2 linked regions of the Lytechinus pictus genome follow. The protein of the gene in region 1 purifies or fractionates together with the protein of each later gene. This does not show direct contact. Links are inferred from orthologs where the notes say so. Each region holds a gene or a part of one and is shown on either strand. Other genes may lie near its edges. The genes, in order: F-box/LRR-repeat protein 12-like and serine/threonine/tyrosine-interacting protein B-like.

The links.
Region 2: the proteins of F-box/LRR-repeat protein 12-like (region 1) and serine/threonine/tyrosine-interacting protein B-like purify together in Homo sapiens (affinity purification with mass spectrometry; 4 studies listed by BioGRID and IntAct, with this or other methods). This does not show direct contact. The link is inferred for Lytechinus pictus from reciprocal best matches to the Homo sapiens genes FBXL12 and STYX.

The regions. Positions count from the first base shown.
Region 1 is NC_087255.1:1,788,249-1,796,098, forward strand, and holds the start of F-box/LRR-repeat protein 12-like, read right to left. Parts: upstream 3,556-7,850; 5' UTR 3,500-3,555; coding exon 3,374-3,499; intron 2,649-3,373; coding exon 2,491-2,648; intron 1,026-2,490; coding exon 65-1,025; 3' UTR 1-64. UniProt on the Homo sapiens protein: Substrate-recognition component of the SCF (SKP1-CUL1-F-box protein)-type E3 ubiquitin ligase complex.
Region 2 is NC_087251.1:3,756,055-3,764,439, reverse strand, and holds the start of serine/threonine/tyrosine-interacting protein B-like, read right to left. Parts: upstream 3,238-8,385; 5' UTR 3,206-3,237; intron 2,852-3,205; 5' UTR 2,825-2,851; coding exon 2,819-2,824; intron 2,567-2,818; coding exon 2,513-2,566; intron 2,094-2,512; coding exon 1,996-2,093; intron 1,754-1,995; coding exon 1,693-1,753; intron 1-1,692. UniProt on the Homo sapiens protein: Catalytically inactive phosphatase. Acts as a nuclear anchor for MAPK1/MAPK3 (ERK1/ERK2). Modulates cell-fate decisions and cell migration by spatiotemporal regulation of MAPK1/MAPK3 (ERK1/ERK2).

The sequences.
Region 1 (7,850 bases):
AAGACATTTGGGAAAAAAATTGTCTTATAAATAACAGATTTCATTGCAAATGATAGAATGGGCGTCAATGGGTTTGTTGTTGTGCTGCTGTGATCAACCTGTCATGTGGATAGAAACCAATCATCCACATAGCCCTAGCATCACCTTCTTCTTGATGCATTACACAACCATTGTTAACTCTCTGTACATGGCCTTCTGTAAAATGTTTATTCTTGGACACCAACAGAACCTTCAATTTAGGTAGAGAATTGGCTAAGCCAGCAAGGACATTACCATCATAGGTAGGTGATTCTGAGAAAGGGCTGTTATCAGGCATGGTGCTTACATCAAGTTCTTCCAGCTGCTTCAGTGGTGATAGATGGTGTAAATCAAAGAGGACATTCTCACTATTGGTGCACTGATGAAGTCTAAGGATTCTTAACTGTGTCAGGTTACGACCAATCTTCTGGAGGGTCTCATTGTTCTGAGGCAACTTGCTTAGGTCTAACTCCTTCAGGTTGGGAAAGTTGTCTGTGATGCGACTTGTCCCTCGTGGTGTGATGCGATAGCAGTTCCTTAACTTCAGAACAAGAACAGATGTCATAGGAGCAGGTGTAATGGATTCTAAGTCTCGATTACCAAAACCATTAGAGCAAGTCATGTCCAGATGCTGTAGCGAATCAAGTTTAGACTGTTTAAATGCCGCAGTAAGCCAAAACGTGGGATAGTTGCATGATATCAACTTCAGAGTCTGCAACTTTGGTGGCAGGTTGGTTGAGCTTGCCTTCAATAAATCAGCCCCTCTGATGCAGAGTTCTTGCAACTTTGGGCAGCGGTTTCCAAGTTCTTGAAGCAAAGAGTCTGAGATACACTCTGTATTCTTGACTGATGAGAGGAAGCCACCGAGACTGAGGCTACGTAGGGAATCACTGAAGTAAGCAAAGACTAGCTTACGAATGTTGACCAGACTGATCTTGTAAGGTGAAAGATCCACTACTCTCCACAGTGGTTTTTGTCTTACCAGATGGTTCCACCCTCTACAAACACTGCATGAATACAACAAACAAAAGTTCTCATGAAAAGGTCAAGTCTACCTCAACAAAATTTGAATACAAAGAAAACAATTAAATGGAAAAGTGAATTTGAGTAACTTACTTTCAGAAAATATCAATAAGCATGTAACTCACACTTATGGTATACGAATTTGATACATATGGTCGATGATGTCGCACACACACATTATTTCTCTGTAAATTTGTTATATGAATTTGTAAATGAGGAAGCTCTTCATCGAATGCACATGTACAGTAATGGCACTTCCACAGGCTCAGGGAAGAATCGAACTTTATTTCAAATTACATTAACAAGTGAATTCAAATTATTTTTAAAATTACGAAAGAAATGGTGAGTAGATGACATTGTCAGACTACCCCTTTTCATTTTATTCTTTCTTGTTTTCTGTACAGGCATTTCACTGATATATCTTTAGTTTTCACAAACCATCCAAGAGGGTTTCAGTAAACACAAACAAATGTTGAGGTAAACATGATCAAAGTTTAACTTTTTTATGTGACTTTTAAAAAAAAACTAATTTGTGATACCAGAGAAGTATGACTGTTTAATACAAACATTTTATAAGATTTCTGTTGTTGCTGTTTTGGATTCTAAGGTGCTTACCATGTTCAAGTGTGAATATTTATGAACATAAATATATTCTTGTTCTAACACTTTTTTAAACAGATATTTGGTTCATAGGTTTAGTCAATCTGTGTGTCTTATGGGGCGTTGCAAGAAACTTGCAATCAGTTGCAAGTCTATTTTTGTTCCCAAAATCAAGCATATGCCGTGCAATTAATTGTAAATTTGCAATTGATTGCTAATCTGCTCAAAACAAGGAGTGTAATCTGATTTGATATAGTTAAAAGTGATTAATCGATTGTAAAATTGCAACAGAATATTTGTGATTGATTGCAAATATTTTCTTGCAACACCCCCCTTAGAATACTTTTTGAAAACGATGTCAGTTTAACAATCATGATAAGGGCAATTCCATAGGTTGGTGGACACGAGCTCAATGTGTCTTTGTACATATAGCCTATCTGAACCGTAACATGAGTAACCACTTTATCTGCACCCCTAGTAAAAACCACGTGTTCTTTATTTTTTAATTATATACAAATTTGTCTCCCTAATATACTTCTTTGAAATGGATATAATCAACTTTCATAAAGCCTTGCATGAGGACACTTTTCACTTATGTCCACTTTTCATTTTATGCATGTCCAATTCATGTAACATGAGTAACCGACACATTTCAAAGATTTGCCAGGAGCATAATGAAATTTCCCAAGTTTTGTTTTTATACAAAGGATAGTCAGACTGCGTACTCTGTTGTGATAAAGAGATGTTTAGTTCCTATCAATAATAATGGAGTTACAGCTCTCAAGTATGAGTCAAGGTGTCTCCAAATGTAACGTGAGTAACCGTGGAATAGCCGATAAGATGTCTTACCAGGCAGCTCTGCAGAGATCCTTTACAGATAGATATCCGAGTATCTGTAGCATAACACTATCAGGCATGGATCTTACTGGACATTCCCCCATCTCACTATCAATTGCACTTGATAGGTGATCAGCAACCTTCTGGGGTGTTAACACATCAGAATCAACCTGACAACAAAAAGTAGTCATCAATAATAACTATCAAATAATTTTACTATTATAGTGGAGAAAATAAGTTTATAATTTCATTCATGTTTATTCAGCTCTGCTCTTTATGCGCTTTTAAGTTTTTCATACAAAACTAGATAGGCTCTTGAGCTGCACTAGTATGCACTTGATCAAAATCTATGTTTCTGTTATTGCCAGAAAGTTAGTACTGCACACTTAACTTCTAAACTAACATGCAGTACTTGTACAATCAGATCAACACTCTCATAATACATGGATCAAGTATAATTTTTATTTATCTATTGGATCTTTATATTATATTATTGTGAGAATGAAACATGGTCTTCAAGACCCATCTCTGATCCCCAAATCTGATCAGATTACAGCCACTGATATACCAGCTTATGGAGTCGAACTCCATAAATGGTAGCTACAAAATGCAAAATATATTTTGTTTCAAAATTAAACGGAATAGGGGTACTTTGAAGATGAAACCATTTTGCTCTGATATAAAGTTCATTTCAATATTAGAGTTCAATTTTGACACAAATCCATCAAAATATAACAAAAGTTATGAATTTTCAGAGTTACAAAGTATTAGAGTTTTGATGAATTGTAATGTCGTGTTTGAGCAGCTGTCCAGTATCCTTGTCCCAAATGCATGTAGGCCTTAGTATTTTTAACTTAAATTAATTTATATTTGATAATGATTCATCCATACTCACACACACATCACCCAGATCCAAGACGGCATTCACATCAAGAGAATTTGCTGCTGAATTGCAAGGTGTCTTGGTGGTTCTTAGAGCCTTATTCATTAACGCATCCTCTTTATCTTTGGACCGAGGCATTTTGAAATCTGCAATGAAATCCACAGAATGTTTATTTGTAAAAGGGGAAACTGTATACACTGACAAAAAGTTAGTTTAAAAAATACTAGAAAAAATATACAGTGAAGGTTTGAGGAATATCCAGTATCAATCTTTTGATACTGAAGGTACAATAAAAGCCACTTCCAAGTTTTTTTAGAAAATGACATTTCATTGATTTTTTTTAAATAACCACATGACATATGGGAAAGCTGCTTGGAAATGACATCACAAATCAAAATATAAATATGTGGGCGCGTCGGCAGGAAGTAATTCCTCAAAAAAGCTGTGCGTACCAGAATCGGTAGACTAGCTTAGGCGGGATAATATAGGAGCGCCTTGAGCACCTAGCAAGGTGGATACGTGCGCTATACAACTCCTATATTATTTATTATTATATTATTATTTAAACTAATTCTAACAACTTTTTTTAAATGGCAGAAAAAAAGATGCTGAAAACTGCTTTTCTAATAAGAGAGCCAACATTTGGAGTAAATTAGAGTCAAAAGGGGCCTAAGCTTTTGATCCTAGCAGAATCTTCGTCGGAGGCAAAATGACAAACATATAAAGTGGAACAACCATAATATAGACCATAGAAATGCAACAGCAACACTAGAAACAAGGAGACAAAAAGGGCATTAATTAGAGAGTTGTGATGACCAATCAGGTTAGAGAAGGGGATGAAAGCAAAGGAGTAGGCAGACACGAAGGGAAGTTAGTGTAAGGCCAGTAAAAGACCTTAATAAGCTATGATGGATTAAGATAATTGGGCAGGCAACATCAAACAGGATCTGGAACAAAACAGTGATAGGGGGTATGAGGAATAGATGAATAACAAGAGAATTAGTGAGAGGTGGGTCAAACAGGTTACAAAGAAAGGCAAAATAAACTGGGGTGGTATTCTGAAAATGTTCTTATCTTTGTTCTTATCTTTTATCTTATCTCATTGAGATATAAGAAGACGCTAAAATCATTGCAAATCGGTATTCTGAAAATCTTCTTAACGCGTTCTTATCTCTGTAAGGACTGCCTCCTTCTTATCTTCAACACGCCCATTTTTAGGATATTACCAATCAAAATGCGCTTTATATTGTCAGTTTAACCAATAGAAGCGTTCCTTATGTCAAGAGAATATCATGGGCACTGCGCGAACACTGTTTCTGGCGCATTGCGCGAAATAGGCATTTTATACGCAATGACTGATTATTATTTCGAGACACGTGCACAATAACGAAAGAAAGAAAGAAAGAAAGGGAGCGAGGGAGGGAGGAAGGAAGGAAGGAAGGAAGGAAGAAAGAAAGGAAGTAAAGAAAAAAAGTAAATAAAGCAGGTACGAATAAAGAATAAAACAGGAAGAAAGAAAGTAGGAAAGAAAGGAGACAGAAAAGGGTCAGAACGAAGCAGAAATTTTAAAAAAAATGAAAGGAACAATTGAAAGCAGAAAATAATGAAAGAGTAAACGAAAGAAAGCAAGCAAAAAGAACTTAAATGAAGAAAAGGAAAGAAAGAAACTTAAAGGAAAAAACGAAAAAGGACCAAAAAAAGATTAAAAGGATAAAATGAAGGAATAAAAAACTGAAAAAACAGAAAAAACGAGTGAAAGAAAAAAAAGAAAGAGAAAAAGAAGGAACAAAAAAATGTAAAAGGTGAAGGAAAAGAGAAAAAAGGAAAATGAATTGAAAGAGAAATTAAAGCAAAAATAAAGACTAAAGAAAGAAATCGAAAGAAAGGCTAATTCAAAGAAAGAAAGAAATAGAACGAAAAAGGAAAATAAAAAAGGAAGAAAGATGAAGAATAAATTAAACAAAGTAAAATAAGAATAAGGAAGAGATTAAAAAATTCAAAAGAATAAAGCAAAAGATATAAATGAAGAATGAAAGATAGACAGATATAAAGGAAGAAAAATTGAAAATAGATAAAGAAAGACAAAAGGATAGAAAAAAAGGTGAAAAACAAAATAAAGGGTGGATAAAAGAAAGGATGGAAAGAACACATGTTATTACCAGTGGCCACCTTTTTTTAGCAAGAAAGAACGCGAACATCGTGAGATGTGATAACCCTCTAGCTATCTTAAATATTATCATAAATATCGTAAAAGATAAGAACGTTTTCAGAATACCACTTATCTTTATTTTGTTCTTATCTTTTTAGCGCGCTTTTGTATTATGCGCGTGTAACAAATTTACGTGCTCAGCATAGGATGGAAAGCAAGATAAGAAAAAGATAAGAACAAAAGATAAGAAAAAGATAAGAACGTTTTCAGAATACCAATTTGAGAACGTGACGTAGATAAGAACAAAATTAAGATAAGAACGTTTTCAGAATACCGCCCCTGGTGCATAAGAGTGGGGAATAAAGGGGAAAGAATGGGGAACAACTGATATTGTGCAAAAGACATTTAAGTATATATTATAAAGCAAAAAAAAAATATATATATATATGGTGTAACTAGTATTGTAAATCCGCTAGGCCTAGGGGCGAGGGGAAAAAACCCCATTAATACTAATAGAAATAATTAAGACATGAAAATGAAAAAGGAGAATATGGCCTAAAAGGGTAGAGTAAATATAGAAGCTGAGGATGTATGAGAGAGGGGGGATGTATCTGAAGAAACTATACTAGTATGATGGGGGGACCTAAAGCTACGCACTTTGTTTACAAACGATAAAAACTGTGCCAATTTTAATATTCAAACAAATGATCTTTCACTGATTTGTGGCAAACATTCTAAAGATCATAAATCAAGAAGAAAATATCACAATACTCACAAATACGAAAATCCCGCCGTGTTTTCCGAACACCTCTTAATTTCGCTGCACGATGTAGAACTAGAAGGGGTCCTAAAGCTACGCACTCGATTTATCATGCAGAAAAATAGTATTTCCTTTACTGCGGCAGCCCGAACACGTACTGTGTTCGGGCTGCGTTGTGATTCACCCCGGCTCACCAGATCAAACCAGATGAGCATCGGGAATCAATCAAAAATACATAAAATTGCACAAAACTGTTACAAAGGAATCAATACATACTTACAACTTAAGGCGCAATATGGGCGGCCCTCAAAACTTCGAAATAATTCCCCAAAACGAAGCAAAAACGTCGGAAAATTTTGCCGGTGTGCATTAAAAGTCGTTTGTACAGGAAGCAATGGAGGATCGATATAGCCTTTTGACGAGGCAACGAGATAAATTGATTTTTATCTTCGTGCTAGCAGAAAACAAAAACAAAAGAAAAATAATAGCCTAATCCTTATAAAAACAAAAAATAAAATAATAATCGATTATAATACGTTTATAATACGCTCTTCCTATTAATTTCACCCTGTTTATTCACTGAGAATCCTATAGAAATATACTAGAAGTCTTTGACAAAAGGCTATCGTATGAGGCATGCGAGAAAGGGTAATATGAATATTCATAAGTCTAACTTAGTGGCGTAATTTCTTTTTCGATGGTTTGGCTGCGTGGCAGCCAGTGAATAAATCACTATTTTAACGGCCTTTTGTTTTTATTCGATTAGCTTCTTTTCATGTAATTTTTTTCTTCATTCTTTTCTCGTGTTCTAATATTATTTCTTAGTTCTCCCTCGTGATTTCTTTTCACTTTCTTTATTTTTTATCCCCTTTTCCGTTTTGTTTTTATTATTTTCATATTTTGTTCATCTACTTTTCGTTTCGTAGTTGATTTTCTTTTCCTTTCTTTACTGTTTCATTCTTTTCTTTTTGACTTTTGCTCTTTTTTCTTCGTTTCTTGTCTTTTCTTTTCTTTTCCCTTTCGTTTTCTTTTTTATTCTTTTTTTCTTTACTTTTCTACCTATTGTCTCTATATTTAAATTAGTTTCTTTATCATCTTTTTTTTTTTCGAGAGAGATTATGCACGTGGAGTCGCACATTTTTTTTAATATGCATAATTGAAAACAATTGATACACCTTGTGAGTAAAAGGATAATTTGATAGCCTATTTTATGTGGTTTGTATTGACGCTTGAAATGATGAAGCCTATTCTTTGCAAATAATTTATTTCCTTGTATTATATTAAGAAGTACTAGTAATTTGATATCATTTCATGTTTGTATTTGAGTATTATTCTATTGTTGTAAATTGTTGTAAATTGTTGTAAATTGTTGTAAATTGTTGTACAAAATAATTATTCAGCCTTTGGCTGCGAGGCATGTTTTTAACAAACCATTATTGAATTGATTTTAGCCATACATATGGCTGCTATTTTTTCAAGCATTCAGCTTACGGTAGCTGGTCTCTGCATTTGAATTCATTTGTTATTGTTTACATGAATTATGTCTATATCTTCTTATAACCATAGGCGGCGGAAGTGGG
Region 2 (8,385 bases), on another chromosome or scaffold:
CACCTTTTGAACTGAAGAAGTTAGTGAGGAAGATATTCCTTTCAAACTGAACCTTTTACCACTGTTTCACTACCTTGCCCACTTTAGTTCAACAGGGAAGAGCTCCCTATGAAAGAGGTATTAGGCAGTCTGCATGATCATCTGAAGAAATAAAATGACTCAAGATATTATGCAAGTATCTATATATATTGTACAACTCCTTACAGAAAATGACACATTTTACTTTGAGTATAAACCTACATTATATTATTATTGTTACAAGTCAAAGGTGTAATATTTGATTACAAATTGACTTTGTATTATAGTGTATATACAGTGCATAAAAAAAATACGGGACAGTTTAGAAAAGTCTATCAAAATTTAGTTTCAAATTATGATGTCTATATTTTGATGTTAATAGATGCTCTGATGTCTTATCTTTCTAATGCTTTTTTTTAAAATAGTTTCGTTCATGCTTGAGCGAACACAAGACGTTTTTGTGAGGGGTTAAAAAAAAAGGCTTGCGCCAAATGCCAGAAAATATTGATCATCAGACTTCTTGCTAGTTTTTATTCAATTTGCTCTCAATTCTTTATTTCTACATCAATTATGTTCATAGTTGGTAAATATTATCATTGGATAATTTTACATATCTGTCCATGAGGACATGAGGTCGAAGGTCGTCTAGGGGTCAAAACGTCAAATGATATGTGGTCATGTCCATCCTTTTTTGAAGTTTTTTTTGTTCAACTTGCTCTGATTTCTTTATTTCTGCATCAATCATGTTCATACTTGGTACATAATGATCCTTGGGTAATACTACATGTGTATTTATGAGGATGATGGGGTCAAAGGTCGTCTAGGGGTCAAAAGATTATATTGCATATTTTAATTATCGCGAAATCAGGCGAGACTTATGATTCGCAAACCACCTTGTTTCATTTAAATATGTTATCTTTTAGCATTGAATATTCTTTCATATTAGCTAAAGAAAAAAAATTGTTAACCTAAGCAAGGAGATATCCATTATTAATTGAAGAGCTTGTAATTTATTCATATCCTTTTATTATGTGCAACAAAGGTTATGGTGCATTTGAAAGACATGAATCCTATTGCCAAGGGGACATTGATTCCTTGAACAAGTCAAATTGTGTGCTTGACAGGACAATATTAATTCTAACAGAAGGATTCATGTCTTTCAAAGGTACCAAAACCTTTGCAGCCCACAATAAAAGGATATGATAAAATTACAAGCTATCCCATTATCCCCTTACTTGGGTTGACAATTTTTTGCTTTTACTCATGAAAAAATTCAATGCTAAAAGATATCATATTTAAAAAACACCAACAAAATAATTTAAGTAAATGAATAGATTTGTAAATGGATTTTGACACCATAATTCGAAAATTATGGCAGAGATAATGAAAAGATTGAAAGGAAGTTTGCTGATTAGCAAGAAGTCTGATGATCAGTATTTTCTCATTTTCTACTGTTTGGTGCAAGCCTTTTTTTTAACCCCTCAAAAAAGTGTTCCATGTTCGCTCAAGCATGAACGAAACTGATATTTTTCAATGGCATTTGAAAGATAAGATTTCAGATCATCTATAAACAACAAAATATAGACATCATAATTTGAAACAAAATTTTGATAGACTTTTCAAAACTGTCCCGTTTTTTTTTTATATGCACTGTAGAGTGAGGATATATCTTACTGTAGGTATATGTCTGATGATATTTTCCAATGCATTGTCTGCTACATCGAGGACTAAGTACCTGTAAATATAAGAAAAACTTTGTATAACAAGCAGAACGATGTAAGCAAATTGTAAACTGCAATCACACAAAGTCAGTATTTTCACCTTCCTATAAAGTTTTATAACACACAATATGATTATCAAATAGACAGTTTACATAATAGTTTTCAACATAGCTGTAATGTCTCATATTATTTCTATTATAATACAAATCACTCCATGATACAAAGAATCAAACCTTAAAGTTGTGTGTTTACTTACTGAAATCTGTCAGGAAAGTTTGGTTTAATGATGGTTGCCTCCGGTGCCTGTCTTATACAAAGGACATGGGTAATACCATGCTCTAACAGAACAGGTAACTAGGGGAAGGAAAATAAGAAATCTGTCATAAGAAGAGATCAATTATTAAAAAATCAATTATTGAAAAAAAAATGTTGCAATTCAAAGTAAGCCAATTCAAATATTTTCTTAATTCAAGTGCATTAACAGTGAATATATTATGCAAAGCACCATTTAATCATGAACAGTTTAAGAACCTCTAATCCCAAAATGTTAAAGTAGTCTTCAAGTGATGTAAATGATTATTTAATCAATTTTGTCTACTCTCTTGAGTACCATAGAATTTATCTAATGAATTATTAAGATGGTTTTATACCAATAAATATCTTTAATCTTCTCATGAACAGAGAGTAATTATTTTTTTGGGGTTAAGTATGGACTTTATATGATTAAAAAATAGAGTGCAGCATTAAGTAAGACCTAAAGCATATATTCTTACCTTGCTTCTTTGAGCTGCAGCATATGGTCCTAAATACAACCCAGGGAGTATTTCCTTCAAAATCAGAAAAAAGGGTCCATTGTCATCTACAGATATTATTCCTTATACATTGCAATTTATCAATATAAAATGATGATAAATATACAAACAAACACAGCCTGAAATGGGGTTGAGTCATGTAAGATTTTCCCACCATTCTGTTGGTGTCTTTTTGGTCTGAAAACTGATATTCCCCAAAATGAATATTGAACACATAAAATACAAATTTAATTATTAAATTAAAATCAAATTCTTAAGATCAGTTACCTGCATCTCCCTTCTCCTTGTGTACACCCAGTCCTGAAATAATAATAAAGATAACTTTAGAGAATATAGAGACCTTTTCGTACAATACAGACTTGTTAATGATACATAACACATAAAAGAATGCAGATATCAAAATTTCCATTATTTTTCTTTTGCTATGGGCCATGATGATGTAGACCAAATGTAGTATAGAATACAAATTGTACATTTCACCCCACAAAAAGGTTGTTCATCTTTAGCTAGATATCAAAATCATTGAATATGTTTCAATCATAAAATTAACATTAATATTAAGAATGAAATGAAAAACACAAATCTAAATCTGCATCTACTCTCACTTAAGATAAGTGAAAGAAATTAATAGGAATGTATGCTAATGAACCATACCTCTCTTATGCAAGGTCATCGTATCCTTAACAAATCTTGATCCATTTTTCTGCGCAACTTAATTCTGATTTGAATTTTCAAACTCTTCTTGCTCATCTATGAGTGAACAACTCACATCATCTTTGGTATCAAAATCAAGGAGGAAAGCTAACTTTATGAATATATGTAAATGAAATACCGTAAATTATTTGTGTATGCTGAACTTAAGAATATTAACTGCGCGTGGTTACTTCCTTTTTTGACATGTTTGAGGAATGCACTCTATGTAGTTTAGAGTACGTATGGTAAGCATAATTAAAGGAGAATAAAGGTTAAACTACATGTTTGGGGCTTCTACGAGGGGGCTTGGAAGAGGATGACTGGGATGAAAATTTTTCCCAAATCATCATTCCACTTTTGTACACAATAGATAGATACTGTATAAGCTGTTATATTCGCGTACAGAATTTCTCGCAAATTGCAGGGGTCCCGACATTTTGTGGGTTGTTGAATACGCGATCAGAAAATGTATAAACCATTTTTACAGCATTCCAGAAGCAAAAATAGTGCAAAACTTGTGCAAAATTATGCTCCTCAAACCCCCTTGCTGACGTGTCTTTTGTACTTACATATGTCCCTGTAAAAAACAGTTACAAAGTGTGAAAAAGTGACTTGAATTTCACTTTTTTTTTACCTTTAGATCTGAAAATTCATCATGTCACAGTTTGATCTGTAAGAGTAATCTTTGGAAGTTGTGTTTTGTTAGATTCATTTTTAAAAAAGTTGGTTCAGTGCAAAAATGTTGAATTTTGTGAACAAAATCTTCAAAACCATGGTCATGTGACTGATGAATATTAATGAGTATGCAAATAGCTGCCAGTACGTGTGTATAGAGTCAATCAGATGCAATCAAATCAAATCATTTTATGGAAAATACATTGTAATATTGCAGTGAGTGAATAAATATTTTTAAACATATGTCAGGAAATAATTTAGGCTCTGATTTTGTTTGAGAAATAAAAAAGAGAAATTCTAGCTAACTTTTTGAATTACTAACATTGTTTTTTCAACCTTATTTTTTTGTACATACATGTATGTAGGTGCTTATCTCCATACTTTCACTATCTTTTAAGATGTATAGCTGGCACCGAAATGGCCATCTATTTTCCATAATTACTTGAAATTATTTTGATTTAGTTGAAAACTATCACAAAAATGAAGAATATTCACCTCTTTCCTGACTCTAATTTGAATTTAAACTCGGTAAATATTGTAGTCCCATATGTAGATTTTCATGGCAACACCATGGAAGTCTACATGTGGGACTATAAAGGAAATGAGTACGAGTGTGCCGTGTCTCGTAGGTCGAGTTGATTGTCCGTTTGGCATTAAATAAGTCCCATTCGTCAGCTCCTTGGTGACGAATACTAATATAGTGAACCTCGCAATACGTGTGAGTGCTACCGTACTCCTTGGTCACCTCCGCCAAGACTTCATAGTAGGATGGGGGGTCGGGTGTCCGGACACTTTATATTGTTGAAGCCTTCTTTTTTGTCTTAAGATTACACTAAAAATATGAATTCAATAGTTGTAATCATCTTCTATTTTGTTCTCTATAATATTTTCTAACATTTTGTACTAAAAATTGATGAAACTTTGCTTGTAATTTTTTCCAAATGACTTTCTAAAATTGATCGTCCGGACACACAACCTGTCCGGACACACAACAACTGCGTATAATCATACGCAGAGTCGAGGGGCCTGTTGCATGACGAGATGAGCGATACGTAGGAACGTCCTAGGACCATTCTTCCGAGATAGGAAGATCATGAAGATTGGCGACAAATCAACGCTTTCCGTTTCACGAAGGCAATTTTGTCTTTCAAGTCTGCGACATCGTTTGATATTGATAGTATCGGAAAAATATTTAGTCTTCATCGTCACCTGAAGGCTGAACCTTTTATTTCGGAATGACGACTTTTCATAAAATAATATATTTCAATAAAAGGGGATCAAATAATGTTTTAATTTTATTTATTACTGATTGTAGAATTGATGTATGGAGCGTACTTTATGAGGTAAAAAGAGAAAAAAAATTCAAGATTCACAAGCATAACTGGATAAAATCGAAATTTAGAACACGGTGTCCATTTAGAGACACCTTTCATTGATATTTCAACGAAAGAGACCCTTGTCCGTCATAAAAATTGATTTAATTAAGTAATTTCGACATTTTATTAGTTCAATATTCTGTATTTTTATAGAAATATTATATGTAATGACAATTTTGCAAATTATGTGTTAATATGTTATTTGTTGAGGTAAAAATAGAGTTTGAATGGAGTAAACAAAATCAACAGTGTCTGATTGTATGAGACTAAAAAGGAAAATATGAGAGGCTGCGCGTGAAAAATCTAATTCATTTATTTTATTTGTCAGGTATAATGCAAGAAATACAAATGTGAGTGTTTAGAGTATAAACAAACCTCAGTTACATGATGAGTTACCGAAGACAAGGAAAATATGAAAATTGCTGCAAACATGTCCAAGTGGATAAAGTAGTGCTTTGCAATAATAATTAAAGGGTGTAAATCAATTAATCCGCAATGGAAAAAATACTATTTACAGAAATAGTGCTAACAAGTGGAATGCCTCTGGCCGTCTCACCTGCATCACGCGATTCAATATAGCAGCAGTGCTGATTTTGAAAACTACTATAACTCGCACAAGATGTTCAGTGATACTTGGTTACTCGTATTTCCACGTTTTATGAATTAGACCAATACACTTATAGAGATATGATGGCAATTCAACAAATACCCCCAACGTGGCCAAAGTTCTTTGACCTTACATGACCTTTGACCTTGATCATGTGACCTGAAACTCGCACAGGATGTTCAGTGATACTTGATTACTCTTATGTCCAAGTTTTATGAACTAGACCAACACACTTTCAAATTTATGGCTGTAATTCAACAAATACCCCAATTTGGCCAAAGTTCATTGACCCTAAATGACCTTTGACCTTGATCATGTGACCTGAAACTTGCACAGGATGTTCAGTAATACTTGATTACTATTATGTACAAGTTTCATGAATCAGATCCATAAACTTTCAAAGTTATGATGGTAATTCAACAGATACCCCCAATTCGGCCAAAGTTCATTGACCCTAAATGACCTTAGACCTTGGTCATGTGTCGTGAAACTGATGCAGGATGTTCAGTGATACTTGATTAACCTTATGTATAAGTTTCATGAACTAGGTCCATATATTTTCTAATTTATGATGACATTTCAAAAACTTAACCTTAGGTTAAGATTTTGATGTTGATTCCCCCAACATGGTCTAAGTTCATTGACCCTAAATGACCTTTGACCTTGGTCATGTGACATGAAACTCAGGCAGGATGTTCAGTAATACTTGATTAACCTTATGGCCAAGTTTCATGAACTAGGTCCATATACTTTCTAAGTTATGCTGTCATTTCAAAAACTTAACCTCAGGTTAAGATTTGGTGTTGACGCCGCCGCCGCCGTCGCCGCCGCCGTCGCCGTCGCCGCCGCCGTCGGAAAAGCGGCGCCTATAGTCTCACTCTGCTATGCAGGTGAGACAAAAATGACAACGATCATAAACGTTTTTCATATTTAAAGTTGATCACTTATTATTTATGGAAGTTTATATTAGAATATAAGGTTTAAGAATATAAAAAATATATATGTTAAACATTTCAAAGTTAAGGAGTAGAGACTACATTATTGCTTTAACATGACATAGGGGCCGAAACGGGCCTACCCAACGATTTAAAATGCGCCTCTTCGTATGGACTTTCCATAATCTTTTCTTTAATGAACTTATCTCATTTGTAATGATTGTGATGGATTCGTAATAGCATGGACCTATTACGAATGGACATTCAACGAATCCCCTCCTTTGACCCAAAGACCGTCGCCGCTAATCCTTTTATAAACAGAGCGCTGGCAGCTGACACCCATCAAGCCGGTCGTAAAACACGCTCTCACTGATGGACAGCGGAAATCAATTGTACGCTGCTCCTACCCATTGCGATGTTGTTCGTTCACTTTATCAAAAGCAACGCACAGCAGCGAACGTAAGCGCTATGAAAATGATAGCAGAAACAAGAAAACAGGCGTGCATAAACATATTTTTTACGTACATCGCTAACAACCGGAAATGAAATGCATTGACATCACCTTGCAGATCCGTATATCTACGGCAAAAAAGCAGTTGAAATTTGACGAAAAAATCTGCGGAAAAACGTTAAAATTTCATCTTTTTCGGACAGTATTGATGTCGATAGTAGCACTTACCTTCGGTCAGAAGTTGATTTTCATTTGGGCATAAAATTCCACAGGATTGATGAAATTTAACGGGATTTTTTTTGATGGACAGACGACAATCCCACATTACAGACAGCCTAACATAATGTACTGAAAAACCGGATATGAATTGCGCATTGCATTCTTGGTAATGTAGGGACTTTCCCTATTGGCAATCGGGGCTACAACATGACCGTCTTTGGTCGAAAGAGGGCCAGCTGTCGATCGGTGACGATCATCGGCCGAAAGGAGCTTGTGTAAACAATCGCCCCGGGCGGTCGTCGTAAAAACCGCGTAAAGAGAAAGTTAAGGGTTAGACAGCAGTTTTGACAGCTGGAAACAGGTGGTGGTCATAAAATGCTCTCGTTGAATGTCCATTCGTAATAGGTCCATGGTAATAGTCAGGCAGCATATGTCATGATTTACCGGCTACTTCGACAAATTGGCTAAGTCTGATTTTTCACTTTTATGTCATCGGTGACATCACAAGGAACAACTTTCAACTTGGTGACAAATTTCTAATGGTCATCTTGACCATGTGAGGGGTCAAAATGTGGTCAATAGGGGTCAGTTTTTAAAATTGCCCCGATTGTGTCGAGCCATACATCGAATTGTTTGTCTGGTTATACTGAACAAAAAAGTGTACACAATCATATACTCTTGACCTCCCGTTAGAAAATTATGACCGGAAATGTCAAAAGGTCAACAAACTTTCGGTAAATGGTACACTGAAGGTGTTAAGAAAGCTATCCTTCATTTTTTTCCCTTCTTTTTTTGCATGTGTATACTTTTTTATTTTCGATTTTGATAAGTTCATAGTCAGAAGTCCTTATCCAGAAGATATAAAGGGTCAAGACAAG